Mytilus edulis: one gene and its partner. The protein of the gene in region 2 interacts with the protein of the main gene of each other region in a pairwise test. Links are inferred from orthologs where the notes say so. Each region holds a gene or a part of one and is shown on either strand. Other genes may lie near its edges.

Region 1 (8,512 bases), on a different chromosome or scaffold from region 2:
GATTCATCTGAAAATTTCAGGGCTGATAGAACTTGACCAAAGGAACGTTTTTACTCCATGGGAGTTTCGCTCTAGTTTTTGAGATAAATATTATATATATAAACCAAAAACTGCACTTTACCACTCTGTTCTAATTTAAGCCATGGGGGCCATGTTTTTTTACACAACAGAAAATAAAACCCAAATATAATTCTAGATACCCTAAGAATCATCCAGCTTAAGTTTGGTTGTAATTGTTTCTGTAGTTTCAAAGAAGCTGCTTGATATATTTTACATCCAAAGGACAACGATGGACAACAACGGATGATGACTGAAGCCAAGTCAAGTGATGGCAAAGGCTCACATTTCCTCTAAAAGGGGAGCTTAAAATAAAGTCAAAGTCAGAGACATGTTCAACTTACAATCATTACATACACCAAGTTCAGTGGCCCTATTGATTATAGTATCCGAGAGAATATTTATGATTCTAATAGTGATGCTGTCTGACCATTATGACTGGAGTGCCCCCCCCCCCCCCCCCCTTTAGGTCAGTAAGCGGGCCCCCTTAGTATCAATGCAAAGTATATATTGGTTTAGAGGTTCATGCATTCATCAAAAGGCAGCAACCATTTGATTTTCTGGGGGGGGCTATGGTTTTTTTTTCTGTGCAAACTTTTTTTTTCGCCTTCGGCGCAGAACAATCTATTTTTTTAGCGACAAACCAAAACCTGGAAACAAACTTTTTTTTCCAAAAAAAAACCATAGCCCCCCCCCCCCCCCAGAAAATCAAATGGTTGCTGCCTAACACACATTGACACAAGAAGAATATTAATAAAATACAAATAATAAAATGTCTGAGGAACTTTAATGTTACATTTTTTACCATACAATCGACAATGTTGACAATTCATGGTTCATCGGTATTTTTGTTTATCCAGCTAATATAAAGGGAAATAATAAATGTAAGCACTTGCAATTAAAAAATAAAATATACAGGTCAAACCTTATCTATCTAAAATTCGTGTTATACAATATATTCTCTCTTTATCATGTACAATGCATTAAATGTGTTGCATACCTGTGTTTCTCTCCATGTAAATAGTTGCAATACCAAATCCTTGACCTAATCAATAAATACTCTAGAGAAGCACCGAATAAAATCGCGGGAAATCACAAATCATGAAATGTAAAATACTTGAGTTATGTGTTCGATGCAAGGTCACGGTGGTTGCAAATGTTTTTTTTACATCTCAAAATAAATGTCATGTCATGTCATGTCATGTGTTGTTGACTAAAATGCGCGTTCAGTATTCAAGACGTAGTTTCGGTTTCACATATTATTTAAAATTATAAAGATTGACCGGGAGATCGCACTTCACAATGAATTTACCCTCGGGTCTTGGATTCAATACCAAACTTTAATAGTTCACGAGTAGTTTTTTTTTAAAGGAAAACAAATGTAAAAACAACTGTTCTCAAAATAAAAATAACAAATGTAAAATAACGAGAACAAATGTAAATAATATTCTGTACATAAAACAGGATAACAATTGTAAAAAAAACTAATGTAAAAAATAAGCTATACACTGTACAATGTCTATCAAAGCCATAAAATCAGGCTGACAAAAATAAATCAACAGAAAATACATTGAGATGTGTATGTAAAGACACCTCTCAGGCAAAAATTATCAAATGAATATTTACACAAATTGACATTAAAATACTAAATCTTGTTTCTATTGGCATACAAATCATTTATCAATAAATTGCTATTTGGTTTGTTTTAAGTAAAATATTCTTTTTTCACAACACTTTACATGTAACCTCTCCATATGTTCAACAATTCCGCAATTTCCCCAGCTGTTGGTCGGTCTAAGGCACATGGTAGCCAACACTGTGAATACAAGTCTCTATACGATTCCTCAAACGGATCAACATCAATTTCTGGATGCTTAGGTCTCTGTCCATATGCTACCACGCCAAAAATAACTACGTGCTGGTTTTCGTTACTAAACGGGGTCTGTCGACTCAACAACTGCCACATTATGACAGCTAATGCATAAATATCTGCCCTTTTAGACGGAGCTTCACCTTTTAATAGTTCTGGAGCTCTGTAAGCAAAAGTACCTGTCAAAATGGATCTTTGTGTTGGACTGACAATCCCCGTGTCAATCTCCACTTTTTGAGAGCAACCAAAGTCTGCAACTTTGCATCGACCATCTGGCGTTATGAGAATGTTTGCTGGTTTTAAATCCAGATGAACAATTTTCATGTCATGTGCATACTTTAGAGCTTCGGCAATCTGCTGGGAAAATTTGACCCTGCGGCATGGCCCAAGGGAAATGGAATCGTCATCTATAAGGCTTTGTAATGTCCGATGTCCAGCATACTCCATAACAATCCAAGCACCTTGATCAAAAACATCCAAAGATGTAGCTGTGATAGTTTTGACAATGTTTTCATGGTCGAATCCTATCGTATTTAACTCAGCCTTGAAGCTTTCCAGCTGTGCCGCAGGATTTTTCGTTACTCTGTGCATTACTTTGACGGCCACAGTTGAATCTTTGTATTTACCTCTGTAAACTGATCCGAATCCACCTGTGCCAAGCAAGCGTCCAAGAACAACTTCTTCCTTCTTAAGGGATGTATTTCTGTGTCTGCTGCTAACGATAGCGTGGGGACGTTTGAATTCATCTCTCTTCTTTTCTTTATGTGCCAAAACAGGCATTACAATCCTCTTAGCAAACTGTCCCAACTTCTTACGGAAAAGTTTGTATTTCCGTAAAATATGCTGGCATTGGTTAAGTCCTTTCAGTGAACTTGAAGAATATTTTTTGTCTTTAACAACACTACACAAATTCTGTTTACTTTTTATCTGCATTTTGGATATATCCACCTTACTATGACAATCATTATATAAACTATAACACTATACTATTCAGGTTGAAAACTGTTCACATATGAGGTCAAGGTTCATAATCAACTGTTTTGTGATTCAAAGCTGTGACTATTATACTAACAATACAGTTTGAAATGATAGAAGGAAATTAAAAAAAAAAGTTTCCGTGAATATCTTTTCTTATTATTTTATCACGTAAAATACAAAAGCTTTTCTGGTAAATATTTCTTTTGGAAAAAAATGTTACAAATGATCTAAATACTTTAAATTGTGAGAATTGGCAACAAAAATTATAAAAAAAACTTGAGTGTTTGAAAAGTTTTCGGGAACAATTTGAAAGATATAAAGATGTTGTTGATTTTATGTTATTCGTTAAAACAATATCATAACTAAATTGTTGTTTAAATCTTTCAAACAATGCAAAAACAAAACAAGTGATACATCCATATACATAAGAATTAGGACAAAACAGCGCTGGTAGTTTTTTCCTGTAACTAATATGAAACATAGTCAAACCACGGAAGTTCCATGGTCAAACCGCCCCGGTGGGTAAGTTGTAGCGCGTTCGTCTCGAGTGAGGGATAGTGTCCTGGGTTCGAAGCCCTAACGGGTGAATCCAAAGATCTTAAAATTGGTATTAGCTGCATCTCCGCTAAGCACGCGGCATTGACTTGAGAAAAAAAAAGATGTAGATGTGGTATAATTGCTATAGACAACTCTCCACAAGAGACCAACTGACACAAAATACAGTAGAATTCTTGGATAGTTTGTTTGTTAGCTGAGCTTTGAAGTCATTATTAGTTCAGATATGTTACCCTCCTTTCAAAGTAGTCTAGTCTTACTAGTCTCTGTCGCTGGTTGGTTGGCGATATTGGAGATGGCATGCCTTCCTGTGGTTGAACGGACTGATGACGATATTCGTTTTGATAACGATCCCCTAATTTCCCCCTTGTTATTTTGTGGGTATTATCTCCCTGCTGCCCTCTAGTGATGGTATGGCTTCTTCTGCTGTTTCTGGTCTACCCTGGTGGTTTGACCTCAGCTGATGTTGCAGCAGAGCTTTTGGCCTGCACCCACTGGTCGTAACGCTTGGCGTCCCTTCTCCTGGTTTGTTCTTTTTTAGAGCCGGCTTGGATTTACTGGAGAATGCCTCTGGTTCCTTAGCCTTGTTCCATGTCAACTGTACGGTCACCTGGTCAGTACTTGCCGAAAACTTCCAATCAGGTTCTTTACCAGACAACTTCATGGCTGCTAACTTTAGCGTTCAATTCATCAGGGATTTCCATAATAATTTGTCCAAGAAGTGAGTCGTGTTGTGAGCTGCGATCAGTAGAGTACATGAAAACGAAGAAAGAAGATTGGTTATCTGTCGGACTAGTCTACTCTTAAAGGACACCCTAATAATGATCACAATGCACACACAAGCTGATGATCACACAGTAACCACAAGCTGATGATTATAAGGCAACAACAAGCTCATAGTAACAAGGTATCCACAATCTAATGATCACTATGTAATGAGGGGGGGGGGGGCAAGGGGGGTCCCCATAACAGCAAAACAGTGATTTGATTTGGTGAAAAACAGATAACAAGGAATTGGAAAGGGATAATAACAGATAACAGTAAATGAAATATGAAAATAAATCTGCCCAGGACCAATCCAGCAGATGACTCGTAGATCTTAGTATATAAATTGTGGTATGGACCTAGAAAATTGTAATTTGTGTAAACAAGACGTTTCGGCCATTGAGGCAGTTCTGCCTTGGTTGATTTTTTTTCTGTAACTTGTACAATAAGTTATAGTATGATTGTTGAATTTTTCTGAACGAAATGACTAGTTTCTGTTTTTGATATAGGGATATTTTTAATCTAGGGAATTTGAGGGATCAATTGTTAAAGATTTAGGTTTTTTTATTTAATTTTTGAAAATAGTAGTGCAGCCAGTGACACTTTATTGTCAATTTGATTTTTAGATTTTTTTCTTCTGAAAAGCAATACTTTACAAGTAATAAAAAAAAAAAATTGATGCACAATATATTTTTTTTATTTAATGACCTCCTGATAAAACTTACTTATAAAATACAAAAATACCCAGATCAGTTGAGACAGGACATGTAACTGAAACACGCATGCCAGTTATGGTTCTTCTGATAATAGAAATTGCCTCAAGTGACAATTCTGATAGTATAATAGAATGTGGACCTAGTGAAAATTTGGATGACACCAAGTGAAACACCAATCATGCATCTTGTGTAAAATTATAGAATATGGAAAATTTGGGTACAGCATGGGAGAAGCTGTAGGATTTTTAAAAAGGGTAAATTTATCGAAAAATTAAACTGAAGACACATCTTTATTTGCATCAATGGTTTCAGAGCTTCAATTTTCGCCATGTGAAGCAGTTAAAAAACTTTTAAAAATATGCTGGTCAGGGTTCTCTTTCATGTAAATGAAAAGAGAGGGAGTAGCACTTATAATATAAATGCTAAAAGAAAAAGATGTTGTATAATTTCAAAAGCCATAATTCAAACCCATACCACTTAGTAATGTAAAATAATTCAAAGGATAAAAACTAACTGCCTTATTTATCCACAAAATAGTGAACGAGAAACTTAGTAACACAGTAACAAACTACAACCACTGAATCCAGGCTCCTGACTTGGAAGTAGGCACATACAGAATGTGATTGCGTCAACGTTACCATGCTATAGGTGGTGTCCAATCCTCCCCTAATCAGGGACAGTGGTGTAACAGTACATCATAAAGATTATTATGTGGTCATTGAATAAAAATAATCTATAGGGTGTACCAATGCTTTTTTTATAACAAAATCCATACTATAAGTTATTGTACAAGTTATACGTGAATTATAATAATTTGTACGAAATGCTACATGTTCATAGACAATGGACACGGGTGTCATTCGGTTTATCGAGAGAAATGGTCGTGAAAGAATATCTAACGACGGTCAAGTATTGAGAGACGATCGTGAAAGTTCTGGTAACGGATCGTGAAAGACATTTAATGAAAATTTTAGGTCAGAATCTTTTAAAAAATCGCTTAATTTTCAAAACGCGGAACAAATCCGAACAAAAAAATATGTCTGTCAAAATGGTTTAACTTCCTCAACATATCTGTGAAATAAGATAAAGAATATATGCAGTACTTTATGAAAAAACACAAAAGGCGCAATGCATGTCTATGAAATTAATTACAAATAACACGCTTTTTGTACCTATAATGGTCATATTTCAGTTTATCGTGATATATTTGAAATTTAATCTTTGGTGTATATGATAGTACAGCAAAATTAAGGTATGTTCTTCCCTTAAAAGCATTAATTTGTATATGAAAACCTTGAATTTGTTGAATATCCATCAAACTTGATCGTGAAAGATCAGGCAACGCATTATTTTGATCGTGAAAGATAATGCGTGACCAGACTTATTACTAGTAATCAGAAATCAGTATTTTTTTTTACCATTTGATAAACCTGCAACTGGTTGAAGCCTGTAACTATTTTGATAAGGAAGAAAATTAAAGCTATTATATTTTTCTATTCAACACTTTACCTCGAAAGTTAAAAAACAAAACAACTAAAAACGTGTCTAAATAAGTTTGAAAGATTCAGCTCTGAGAATCGGTCAAGTGCAATTCAGGCAGACCGACACTATTTAGCCAATAATATGGATATGCAACGTTTAAACCAAAATGATATCCATCAAACAAAAACTTTCAGCAAAACAGCATCTTTCATGAGTAATTTGAGTAAATCTCGTCTGCTTTAGTTATGATAGTAATTCTTTTGAACGTCTATAATATCAAGGGTTTTAATAGAAGTGTCAAATGCGCTTAATGTGCTTAATGTATTTTTGTCCATCTGATGAGTTAAGCCTTTTCAATTGATTTTTATAGTTCATTCTTATGTTGTACTGTTATACCACTGTCTCAGATTAGGGGGTGGGTTGGGATCCCGCTAACATGTTTAACCCCGCCAACATGTTTAACCCCGCCACATTATCTATATACAAATAAGGCCGTTAGTATTCTCGTTTGAATTGTTTTCCATAGTCATATCGGGGCCTTTTATAGCTGACTATGCGGTATGGGCTTTGCTCATTGTTGAAGGCCGTACGGTGACCTATAGTTGTTAATGTCTGTGTCATTTTGGTCTCTTGTGGATAGTAGTCTCTTTGGCAATCATACTATATCTTCTTTTTTTAAAATTAGGATTGTAAATGGTTCATAAAAAGAGTGCAAGAACAGATGAACCATGACATACAGATCTCTACAAATATCCCGTAGACCAAATATATGTGTTCCGATCCTTACAATGCCTTAGAAAATGACAAATGTAAAAGTGATGCTTGGCCAATTGATTTGGAACATAAGGTCAAAAGTATATGAACCCTGACCGACAGCCAGACATAGACATCTTACTATCATTCAATATATCAAATACAATTGACGTCATCATGGTCATATATGAAACATTCAGACAGACATGTACACCATACACGAAATACCATGGCGCTATAGCAAACAGGTATATATCCAAAAGGCTAACCAACATAAAACGAACATTGCCGAATGATGCATGATAATGAGCTCGATGTTATATAAACCTTGCAGAAGTCTGCAAATGTACACCTTACAATCATAACAACAGACATTTATCCTAAAGCTTAACGAATCCGCGATACGGACTGAATCTTCATCCATGAAATGAGGCAAATTCGGGGTCAGGTGAATCCTGAATGACGGACATCAGGGGCGGATCCAGGAATTTAGATAGAGGGGGGGGGGGGCGAAGTTTTAAATTTGTTGGACCTTTTTTGGACTATAAAAAAAAAATAAGTGTAAAATGCACTTTTTAAACGGTTCCTGACGTGGGGCATGTATATTCTATAGTTGCTGTAAAGTGTAAGGGTTGGACATTTTTATGCTGTATTCTCCCTATTGATTGTCTATAATAAAATGATAATATGGATCCAAAGCTATGTACTGATATATTTGATGTGGGATGTTGTAAACAAGAAATACGCCGAACTATTCGATGAAATTTACCATACGAGAGTTAAAAAAGTCAAACAACCAATTTTTATCTAAATGTTTGGTTGATATATTTCACTCAATAAAATCAAGGGAGGTGAGGGGTTCCAAAATCAACCAAAGGCTACGAATGAGTCTGAAATGACGACGAATTTATGAATGACCGTCGACAAATGGAGACATAAAAGCCACTCTCAGCAGTCAGGTTGCAGTCTTGTCTTGAAAAAAGTATTCAATATATCAGTTCGGCGAAACAGACATTCCGGTCAGACATGCAAACCCCCGACCAAAAAAAAAAAATACGCCTGTTTTTTATACATCATGTTCATTTAATGCTAAATAATTCTGTGGGAAATTTTCGTTTCTAATAGCAAAAAAGTTTAAAAAATTTAATGCAAAAATCGGAGTCAGATTATTTTTCTCAGATACCTTAGACTGCCTCCTCAAATCAAATGGTTCGTACCTTAGACTTTACATCTATCTATAGAGCTGATACTGACTGGGGATCATTATTCAGCTATCATGTTATTCTAAAATAGACTGGGGCGTTTGGGGTAAAACATGTTTTCGTAGGTAAATAAT
Region 2 (9,016 bases):
GCCAATTGCTGCCATGTTTATGTTTTGGGGACTTTTTTTTCATCCACATATATTTAAGAATTAAACATGACAGGAGTGTTGTCTAGTGAGAATTAAGAAGGTTTTAACTTTATATCAATTAAAGACTTAAGCAGAAAGTCATTTTTAATATGTTTTATATTTCACAAGGAGACAACACGTTTACCAGGCTAAAGTTGGGGTCAGATATACATGTGCTGAAACATATAACTCCAAGAGAAATTATTATGGATTATCCCCTAGTAGTGTTTGTAACTGGGCAATAATTTCCTTTATTGATTTAATTTTCATAATTAATTTAAATTTTACACTTCAGTTAAAACATTTCAACTTTCCAGACGCAAATGTTGAAAAACGGGAAAGAAACAAAATATTTTACAAGACATAAACATGTAAAAAATAAATATATATTTAAGCTGACTAAAAATATTTTCATAATGTTACTTTGTCATCATTTCTTAAAAACTAAGTCCCAAACGTTATTGCTCAGTTGATATGTGTCATCCTCATGCTGTACGAGATAACTATAATTCTCATGCAATCCCGAAAAGAGGGGCCATCACAGACAAACATGACATTAAATCGTCATTATACGAACACGAACAAACAGCTCTAAGTTGCTTTGATATCTATCCAATTTTCAGGAAACATTGTGAAAATGATCTTCAATATTTCGAAAACATGTGAAATATAATTGCAAACACGGTGGACCGTCGAGGGTCAACAAACGTAGTAGACTCGTCCATTGGAAAGACAAGGATAATGGTTTCATCATTTGTCATGCATACCCAGTTTTGAATATGATATCCAAAAAGGATGTACTTTTTTTAATCTATGAAACTAGAAAATTCCAAATTGTAAATATCTCTTCATCTGGACTTGGCATCTATCACATTTGGACGGGTCCATTTCATTAGTAAGGTGATCGATAAATCTTACGGAGTTATGACAAAAAAGGAAAACAAACTTATTGTTATGTGTTTTTAACAAGGGTTTCGTTCCTCTAAATTATTTGCGCAAACAAATCAACAAAATAGGTCAGTTAACTTTGTCTATTTTTAGATTACAGGTAATCATTTGACACTACGTATAACCTGATAACCTGTGTAGTGATTTTGATTTTACGATAAATTTATGAATGAACGACAATTTTATGAATGAACAAGAGCACCTGACCTCTTTCTTAAAAAAACACCAATTAAACATATAAAACCGTATATTATAAAAGATAATTCAGTCAAATTTTCAATACTAAATCAACAACTGAAATGATTCCATATTTTGTTGAAACATCGTACGAACGGAAAACGGAATCGCAGGTATAAAAATGCATTTTTTTTCACTCGGACGTCTATGTTTTTTGATAGTCAAACGGTTGTCCCCCTAAATACAAAAATATATCTACAAGAACGTATGCTGAAACTTCTTAAATCCACTAACGTTTTTCAAAAGTTTCAAGCTATGTATTGCATTAGAAAACATACATAGGTGTTTAAGAATGACAGACCAGGAGCCTGTTTAACAAAATACTATGGCTTGATCTGGGCGGAGTCTCTGATCTGGGTCACAAAGATGGCCATACGCGACGGCATGAAAGCAATTGCTTTAAAAATCTGATGACACAATGGAAAGTGATTGTTGTATGTGTCAAAAGTTCAAGCGGCTGGGTCAGCCAGAATTAGCGATAATGTGTATTAAATGAGTATCCAAAATGGCCGATACCATGGCATTTTCACTGATACCAGTAATAGTTGTAAAAAACAGGCTAATTCGTTTGAAATGAGGAAAACCAGATATATAGATAGAATAATATATGTGAAAAATACACCGGCTACCAACCAATCAAAATCTGGCCTTTTTTTTAAATAAGGTGTAATTATATCACTAATGTGCCATTAAAATAAGTTGATGGTGTCCCTAAAGTAAAAGTAGGGAATCCATGATATCTCGGCCTATAACATAATCGGACTATAACAAACTCGGCCTATAAGAAACTCGGCTTCCCAAAATCGGACTATAACAAAGTCGGACTATACCAAACTCGGACTACTAGAAGAATATAAGTATAATGTTGGTTGTTGTTGTTATTCGAAATTAATTTTCAATTCTTAATTTAAATGAATTTTTATCTTCAATTAATTAAATAATTGAACTTTTTTGAAGGGGATAAAAAAATAAGTTAACAAGATATTTTTAAAATAAAAGTACAAAAATAAATCTTTTTGAAATTCATTTATGAAAATTTCCACTGATTTGTCTTTTCAGTATTATTATTTGTAATAATGTCCCTCTCAGAATATGTTTTTATTATATGCATATCTTAATTGATTATGACATCATGCCACGTGTATCGTTGATACCTTTTTTAATCATCATAGGTTAAACAAACAACTGGCACATGTACTGTTGACACCTATCTTATCACCCAAGTCAGGACAAATCTATCTGTTATTACAGGAAATTTGGTACTAAATATCCAATTAAATGTGTCTTGTCTTGTATTGGCTATGACTGGACTTCAGGTTTTTTTTTATTATTATAAATTTTGTGTTAATTATTATAAGACAATTCAGTGAATTGTAGCATTTCTGGTTTTTGATCATATTTTGAAATAGTGAAATTGTTATGAAGCCATTCACTGTCAATCAAATTTCTCTGTGTTTATTTACTATAATCATAAACACCAAGGATTAAACACAATAAAAACACGAACACACGCCACTCATTAAAATATCTTTTGCAATTGTCAATAAACATCATAAATCACAATAACATTCCAATGTAAGTTAATTATCCTCATTGGATCTCCTGTAGTTGGTGATCGCAATACTGGTATACCAGTATTGTCCACAATACTGGTATAAAAATTTTGTACCAGTATTGTATTCCAGTATTGTACCAGTATTGTGCTTTTTTTAAATAAACAATATAGGTAATTAATCTTTTATTAAAGGTGTCACATATATGCATAATGAAATTAACATATGACATGACAATTTTATCAGGAATGATTGTGTTTAACTGATGATGCCATAGATGGTACTCTGTGATTGTCATCAAATAAAGTTTTAAATCTTCTGATGTTTTTTTCTTAACCATTCTGTCTCAGCATTTTAACAAACTCTGTACTTTCTTCTATCTTTCCAAGATTCATGTAGTATATTTTAGTGAATTTTATATTGACATTAATGCTGTTATAGCTTCTGTATCATCAGCATTGGTATTGTCTATTTCTTCTTCAGATGTGATTTCTGCAACCCCTCCCCCCTCCTATATTCAGTCTCTGTGGACTTTCTCTAAAGCTTACTAGATTACAAGCTATTTCAAATAGCATTTGTACAGCTCTCTTACTGTCAGAATGCTGGTCTAGTATTTGTACCAGTAGATATATATGTACCTGCTACTAATTGTATTGTCCATGGTTCTGAATCAACTGCTTCAACCCTTAACATTCATGTAGACAAACTATTTAATTTGATTATAACAAGGTTCCCCTATAAAGCAACTTTTTATTATTAATGAATAATATTGATATCTTTTGTTGTGAAAGATTAATAAGAAAATAAAGACAAACAAATGCATATGATCTTAGTACACAAAAAATGTATACATGTATTAAAATGTTTGTCAAAATATGTGATGGCATACATGTAAATGATGAATTTACAGTGTTAGAGTCTAATAATTTGCTTGAATTTATTATATTATTACTCAGATAATAATAAGCTTTTATATAATAAATTTTAAATAATATAAAATTATTAGCAATTGTTTAAATAATAATGATGATATGAGTTAATTTCAATAATCTTTTGTTTATTTGTGCAAGTATAGTAATGACTTTTAACTGGTTGTTAAATAATTATTGATTTCACAATTATCCTCTATAATCTTTTTGAGTTCATTTAATCTCCCTTTGATCTTCAATATAGTCTAGTCAACAATACAACTACAATACTGGTATATCAGTAATGTACCAGTATTGCTGTTTTTTTTTAATAAAAAGTTACAATACTGGTACAAAATTTTTATACCAGTATTGTGGACAATACTGGTATACCAGTATTGTGGACAATACTGGTATACCAGTATTGCGATCACCAACTACTGGCCTTGAAGGCATAAAACTTTGCTCAGTGCTTGGAGCACAAAAATCGTGCTCGAAACATGAAATCCAGCAATTTGATTGGTTGATTTTCGAGTCTGAGTTCAAAAATCATGCTCGAAAGTTTTATGACCGTTAGGCCAGGAGATCCTCCTCATTTAAACATATCTAATTCAACTCATATAACAAATATTAATCATTTCTATATACGATTTTTTTTTTACAAAAATATTCATGATAATCTCATAAATTCGTATATTATTTTAATATATAAGTATTTTTTATTACAATCTTCTAATCGTACTGTAGTCCGAGTTTGTTCAATATATTTCTGCATATAAATAATGGTAGGCCGAGTTTGTTATAGTCCGAGTTATAGTCCGATTTTGTTATAGTCCGACTTTGTTTTAGTCCGAGTTATCCAGCAGCGAAAGCAGGCCCTCTCACCAAAGGCACTTGTTTCTATCCATGGGAAGACCCACTTGGATAGAAACAAGTGCCTGTGCCACTCACCAGCTCACGGCAGTTGTTAAAACTTATTTTCAAAGTTAAAAAATAAACATTTTGTTGGTTGTCTGGTAATCTAAAACTAAATTTTATGTGAAAGATGAATTATTGTTGCAGTGAAGCTTTAACATGACTTCGACAAGCTAATGTCAATATGAAAAATACAGCAATATTTTGGTCAGCAACCAAGTTGTTTACCATCGTAATCCGCCATCTTCCAAATATCCAGCGACACTATTCAGCAGCAAATTAAATTCTTTCACTCTTTGAGGGTATAACAAAAATGTTTTTTGAAATTTTAAAAAAGGCAGTTTATTTTCCTTTATTTGAAAATAAAAAAAAATGAAATTGTGTTGATTTAAATTATATATTTTTTGTACTCGTATTTGCCTCGGAAATAAAAGAGTTGTCTGCAACTTCCGGTCTAAAAAATTATGATAAATTTTCAGCACGAAACCAGCGACACCTACAGAATACAGAATACAGAAACCAGAAGCTGACTTTATATCTAAATCTAGGTATATTTACAAAACAAGTCATACCTGCCAACTGTCACTACTTGCGGGTTCCCAAAGAGAAATTTTACAAGAGCAATTTTGTCCACTATTTTAAACAAAACAATGAATTTTATCATGACTTTAAGTTTAAATAGGCTTTTGAAAGTATGAAGAATCACAAAAACAACATTGAAATGCATTTAAAAGCCCCCTTTAAGTTTTTTAAGGACTATGACAGCCATCTTGCACGCAAAACCTCTGGGCAGGGGAAATCATAGAGAGGGGAGCCTAACTCGCTTCAGATGATAATCAGACAATGGCGGCTTTATTTCGGAAATATGTAGATTTTACATAACAAATAAGAATACAGTCCGAACATACCGATAAATTATCCTGCTAGTTCGATTGGCTTAAAGTTTTTTCGTGTTTTTATTTTGATAAGTGTATGAACCCTTGACCGGTTATTTGGGGTCTTCTTCTACACTCCCAAAATATGATAACAAACACGTCTTAGCACACGAATGTACTCAATCAAAGTGTTTTCTACGTGTATTATGAAAACTATAGAAAAGGGGGAGGGGGGAATACTTGAAAAAATAATTTAAATTTGTTTTATTCGTTTAAATTGGTCTACCGATATACAAATTTCATTACTGAGTAAAAGTAATTGAAAATGAATTTATATTTCAGCAAGAAATTTACATAAAATGTTTTTTTTAAACCAGTTTAATTCTGTCAGTAACAAATCCAGTACGCATTTTTTCACCGGAGGAAAAACTATCGGTGCTTTCACTTGCATAATTTTGATTTTTGGATATCATGTATAACACTTGCGGTATCCTCGTGTAAGCATTGATTTGCTTCAACTGAGTTACAATTTTTAAAGATTTGTAAATAACAAAAAAAAAGCGGAGCGAGGCAAAAATTTTTGAGGTTATTTTTTTAAAAATATTCTTCTAAAGGGGTGCAATGTAGGTATTTCGAACTATTGTGAGGTACAGTCAGCAAGAAATTAAAGTTTCAAGTAGAAACCACCTAAATCCAACCTGACAACAATTTACAATCACTATAGTATCATGGACGGACAGATGTAAAACAATATATGTTCCTGTTCCGCGAAAAACCTCTCAGTTATGATGACAAGGTCTCTTACAAACTTGAAAAATCTTCAACAAACTCCTAACACCAATAACTTACGTACTACATGTAAGAGATTCATTCTGCATATATATGATAGAGTTTATAAAGCTGCAACCCAAAACAGAAGCTGAAGATCATGCGAACAATTTATTTTGATTCTGTGTTCCTATGCAAACTGAGTGTGCAGACCAATCTACACTGAAGACACCAGCACTTCTAAAATAATCAATATAAGGTCATAAATATCCCTGAAAGACATTGGTGCTGGTAATTGTGATAAACAGAAACATCACAAAAACAGGAAGCCCTTGTTTGCAGATCGTCAATGTCACTTAGCCATTCAACATGGTGTAAATTATGTGAAATGAAACCGGTTCACTTAAGAATTACTTTAACACTCCATAACACAATCATCGACAAACTTGGTTAGGACGATGGAAATGTAAAGAGTTGACAGATAGACGGGTGGATCGACGGAAGCAAAGTGAGACAAGATAGATCACATCAGCTCACATGACCAATACTAGATACTAGTATTAGATTTCGCAAACGAAAATTTCCACTTTTCGCGGTGATTTCCAATTGTCCTTTAATTATATGTTTTAACTTTTTGGATTTTCGGAGGTCGTGCCAGACTTAATATATACATATACTGTGTTCGCCACAAACCACTAAAATCAGAATGAGATACATTTACGAAGTTATTTTTATTTTGTGGGGATACGGCCATGCACGTATTTACGGTATACATAATTCGCCACTTCGATTATCAAAGAAATTGATTATAAAACGGCAAAAACAAAGTAACAATTGTTTGTAATTTAACAGCTTAAACATGTTTTTCATTTTTCAATCAGACACCTTCCTTTGAAGTATATAATATTTATAGAACTTGAATAAATTGTAGGTCAGTTGATTCTGTTACTTAGTATAGAAAGTCCCTGGTTAAACTGACTGTTTTATATACTTTGAATGTTAAGAAGGAATGGTCTCTTCTGATACTGAAACAAGTTGAAGACAACCCATACTTTGCAAATTTTAGGGGGGGGGGCGTACGCCCGCCACGCCCCCACGTAAATCCGCCCCTGGTTCAATGGCGGATCCAGAAATATATATAGTTTTTATGCAAGTTGGCTTCTTTATCTTAAGTATTGTTCACTGAATCAGGATAGGCGGATCTAACCCAATTTATAGTGACAAATTTGGTTGATATATATTGTCTGCTTAATTCTATAATTTGCATATTTAAAAATCTGGATTGCAGATCTTTGATGATTTTTTTTAACTATGACGATTAGAAGCTGTGACAAAAGAAACAGCTAGGTATGAACCGTAAGCTGCAGTCAGCAATGTAACCATAAATCGTATGTCCATAATATTTGGAATGCAGTTGTCAGAAGCTGGATAAAACTTGGTAGTTAGGGTGCTCGCACCCCTCTCATTAAGCTTCATTTAGGGTCAGTCAAGATTTTTGCAGGTTTCACTCATAAATTCGTCTAGCTTTGGGACCCCTCCACAAACCACTTTTACAAATTCTAGATATGCATCGGGTTGTATTTACTGAAGCACATCTTATACTAAAAGTCATGGAGTTTTTTTTTAGACCAGCCCATGTTCAGGGTTTATTGACTAGAGACCTTTTACATGCAGGGACACAATTTATGAGTTATTTTTCAGTAGATGCATTTGGTCTCTGGTTGAGAGTTGTCTTTTTCAATCATTAGCAATCTTACCACATATTTTCATATTTCTGTGTTCAACTGTTTGTTCTTAAATGTTAAGCTGTTACACCGTCACAAGTTACAGGAGAATTTGCATGTACAGTATGTGTAAGCCCACCACATTCTCATTCTGTATGACTTTGTTCTAAGTAAGTAGTTTGAAACTCTGTTTGCTTTTGGTCATATTGAGTTTTATTTGTTTATCACTTGCATTTTTATGCCCCACCTACTACAGTAGAGGGGCATTATGTTTTCTGGTCTGTGCGTCCGTTCGTCTGTCCCGCTTCAGGTTAAAGTTTTTGGTCAAGGTAGTTTTTGATGAAGTTGAAGTCCAATCAACTTCAAAATTAGTACACATGTTCCCTATGATATGATCTTTCTAATTTTAATGCCAAATTAGAGTTTTTATCCCAATGTCATGGTCCACTGAACAGTGGGGCATTCGTGTACTGAGGACACATTCTTGTTAGATGTGTTGGGATCCTGATTATACACCAACAAACAACACTACCTTTAAAGACACCATAATGATCAATGTGACAGGGATATCTACATCAATACGGTATTATTTGCATATCCTTATTCCTATAGCAAAGAGTCTAGGACCATGTATTTTAAAAGTCAAACAAAAAAAACAACAAGAACTGTCAGCACTAGATACATAGACCAATATCTCAGGACCACCTAATTGAATAAGATTACCAAAGATTTCAAATAATTTGGAAACAGGGTTAAATAAATATAGGTCTAATTGGAGCTTGGTAATATAGCTGTATATAGCTACTAAAAAAATTGAATAGAAAAAGAAAATTAAGTGTCTAGTACTCTTTATTTACATTTTTATCTCTCAGTCAAACAATGAATATTTTTGTTGTTTTGGTAATAGTGGAACATCTTTCTAAAACACACTGCTTTTTTTTATTTCACTCTTAAGAACAAATTCTGCTTCAAATTAATCAATATGTAGATCACAATTATAACCTTCATCTTCACCAGTTCTGCATTCTAACCTGAAATATAATGTTGTA

What was found. The genes of interacting proteins can lie anywhere in the genome.
Region 1: the proteins of myotubularin-related protein 9-like (region 2) and serine/threonine-protein kinase mos-like interact in binary tests that used the Homo sapiens proteins (3 or more experiments, as listed by UniProt). The link is inferred for Mytilus edulis from reciprocal best matches to the Homo sapiens genes MTMR9 and MOS.

What each region holds. Positions count from the first base shown.
Region 1 is NC_092344.1:114,467,195-114,475,706, forward strand, and holds serine/threonine-protein kinase mos-like, read right to left. Parts: upstream 2,937-8,512; 5' UTR 2,861-2,936; coding exon 1,793-2,860; 3' UTR 1,074-1,792; coding exon of another isoform or gene 1,058-1,073; 3' UTR 891-1,057; coding exon of another isoform or gene 863-890; 3' UTR 826-862; downstream 1-825. Other genes in the region: NF-kappa-B-activating protein-like, read right to left, coding at 863-890.
Region 2 is NC_092355.1:76,962,076-76,971,091, reverse strand, and holds the start of myotubularin-related protein 9-like, read left to right. Parts: upstream 1-5,023; 5' UTR 5,024-5,148; intron 5,149-8,798; exon of another isoform or gene 8,799-8,998; intron 8,999-9,016. Other genes in the region: zinc finger C2HC domain-containing protein 1A-like, read right to left, coding at 4,829-4,844. UniProt on the Homo sapiens protein: Acts as an adapter for myotubularin-related phosphatases. Increases lipid phosphatase MTMR6 catalytic activity, specifically towards phosphatidylinositol 3,5-bisphosphate and MTMR6 binding affinity for phosphorylated phosphatidylinositols.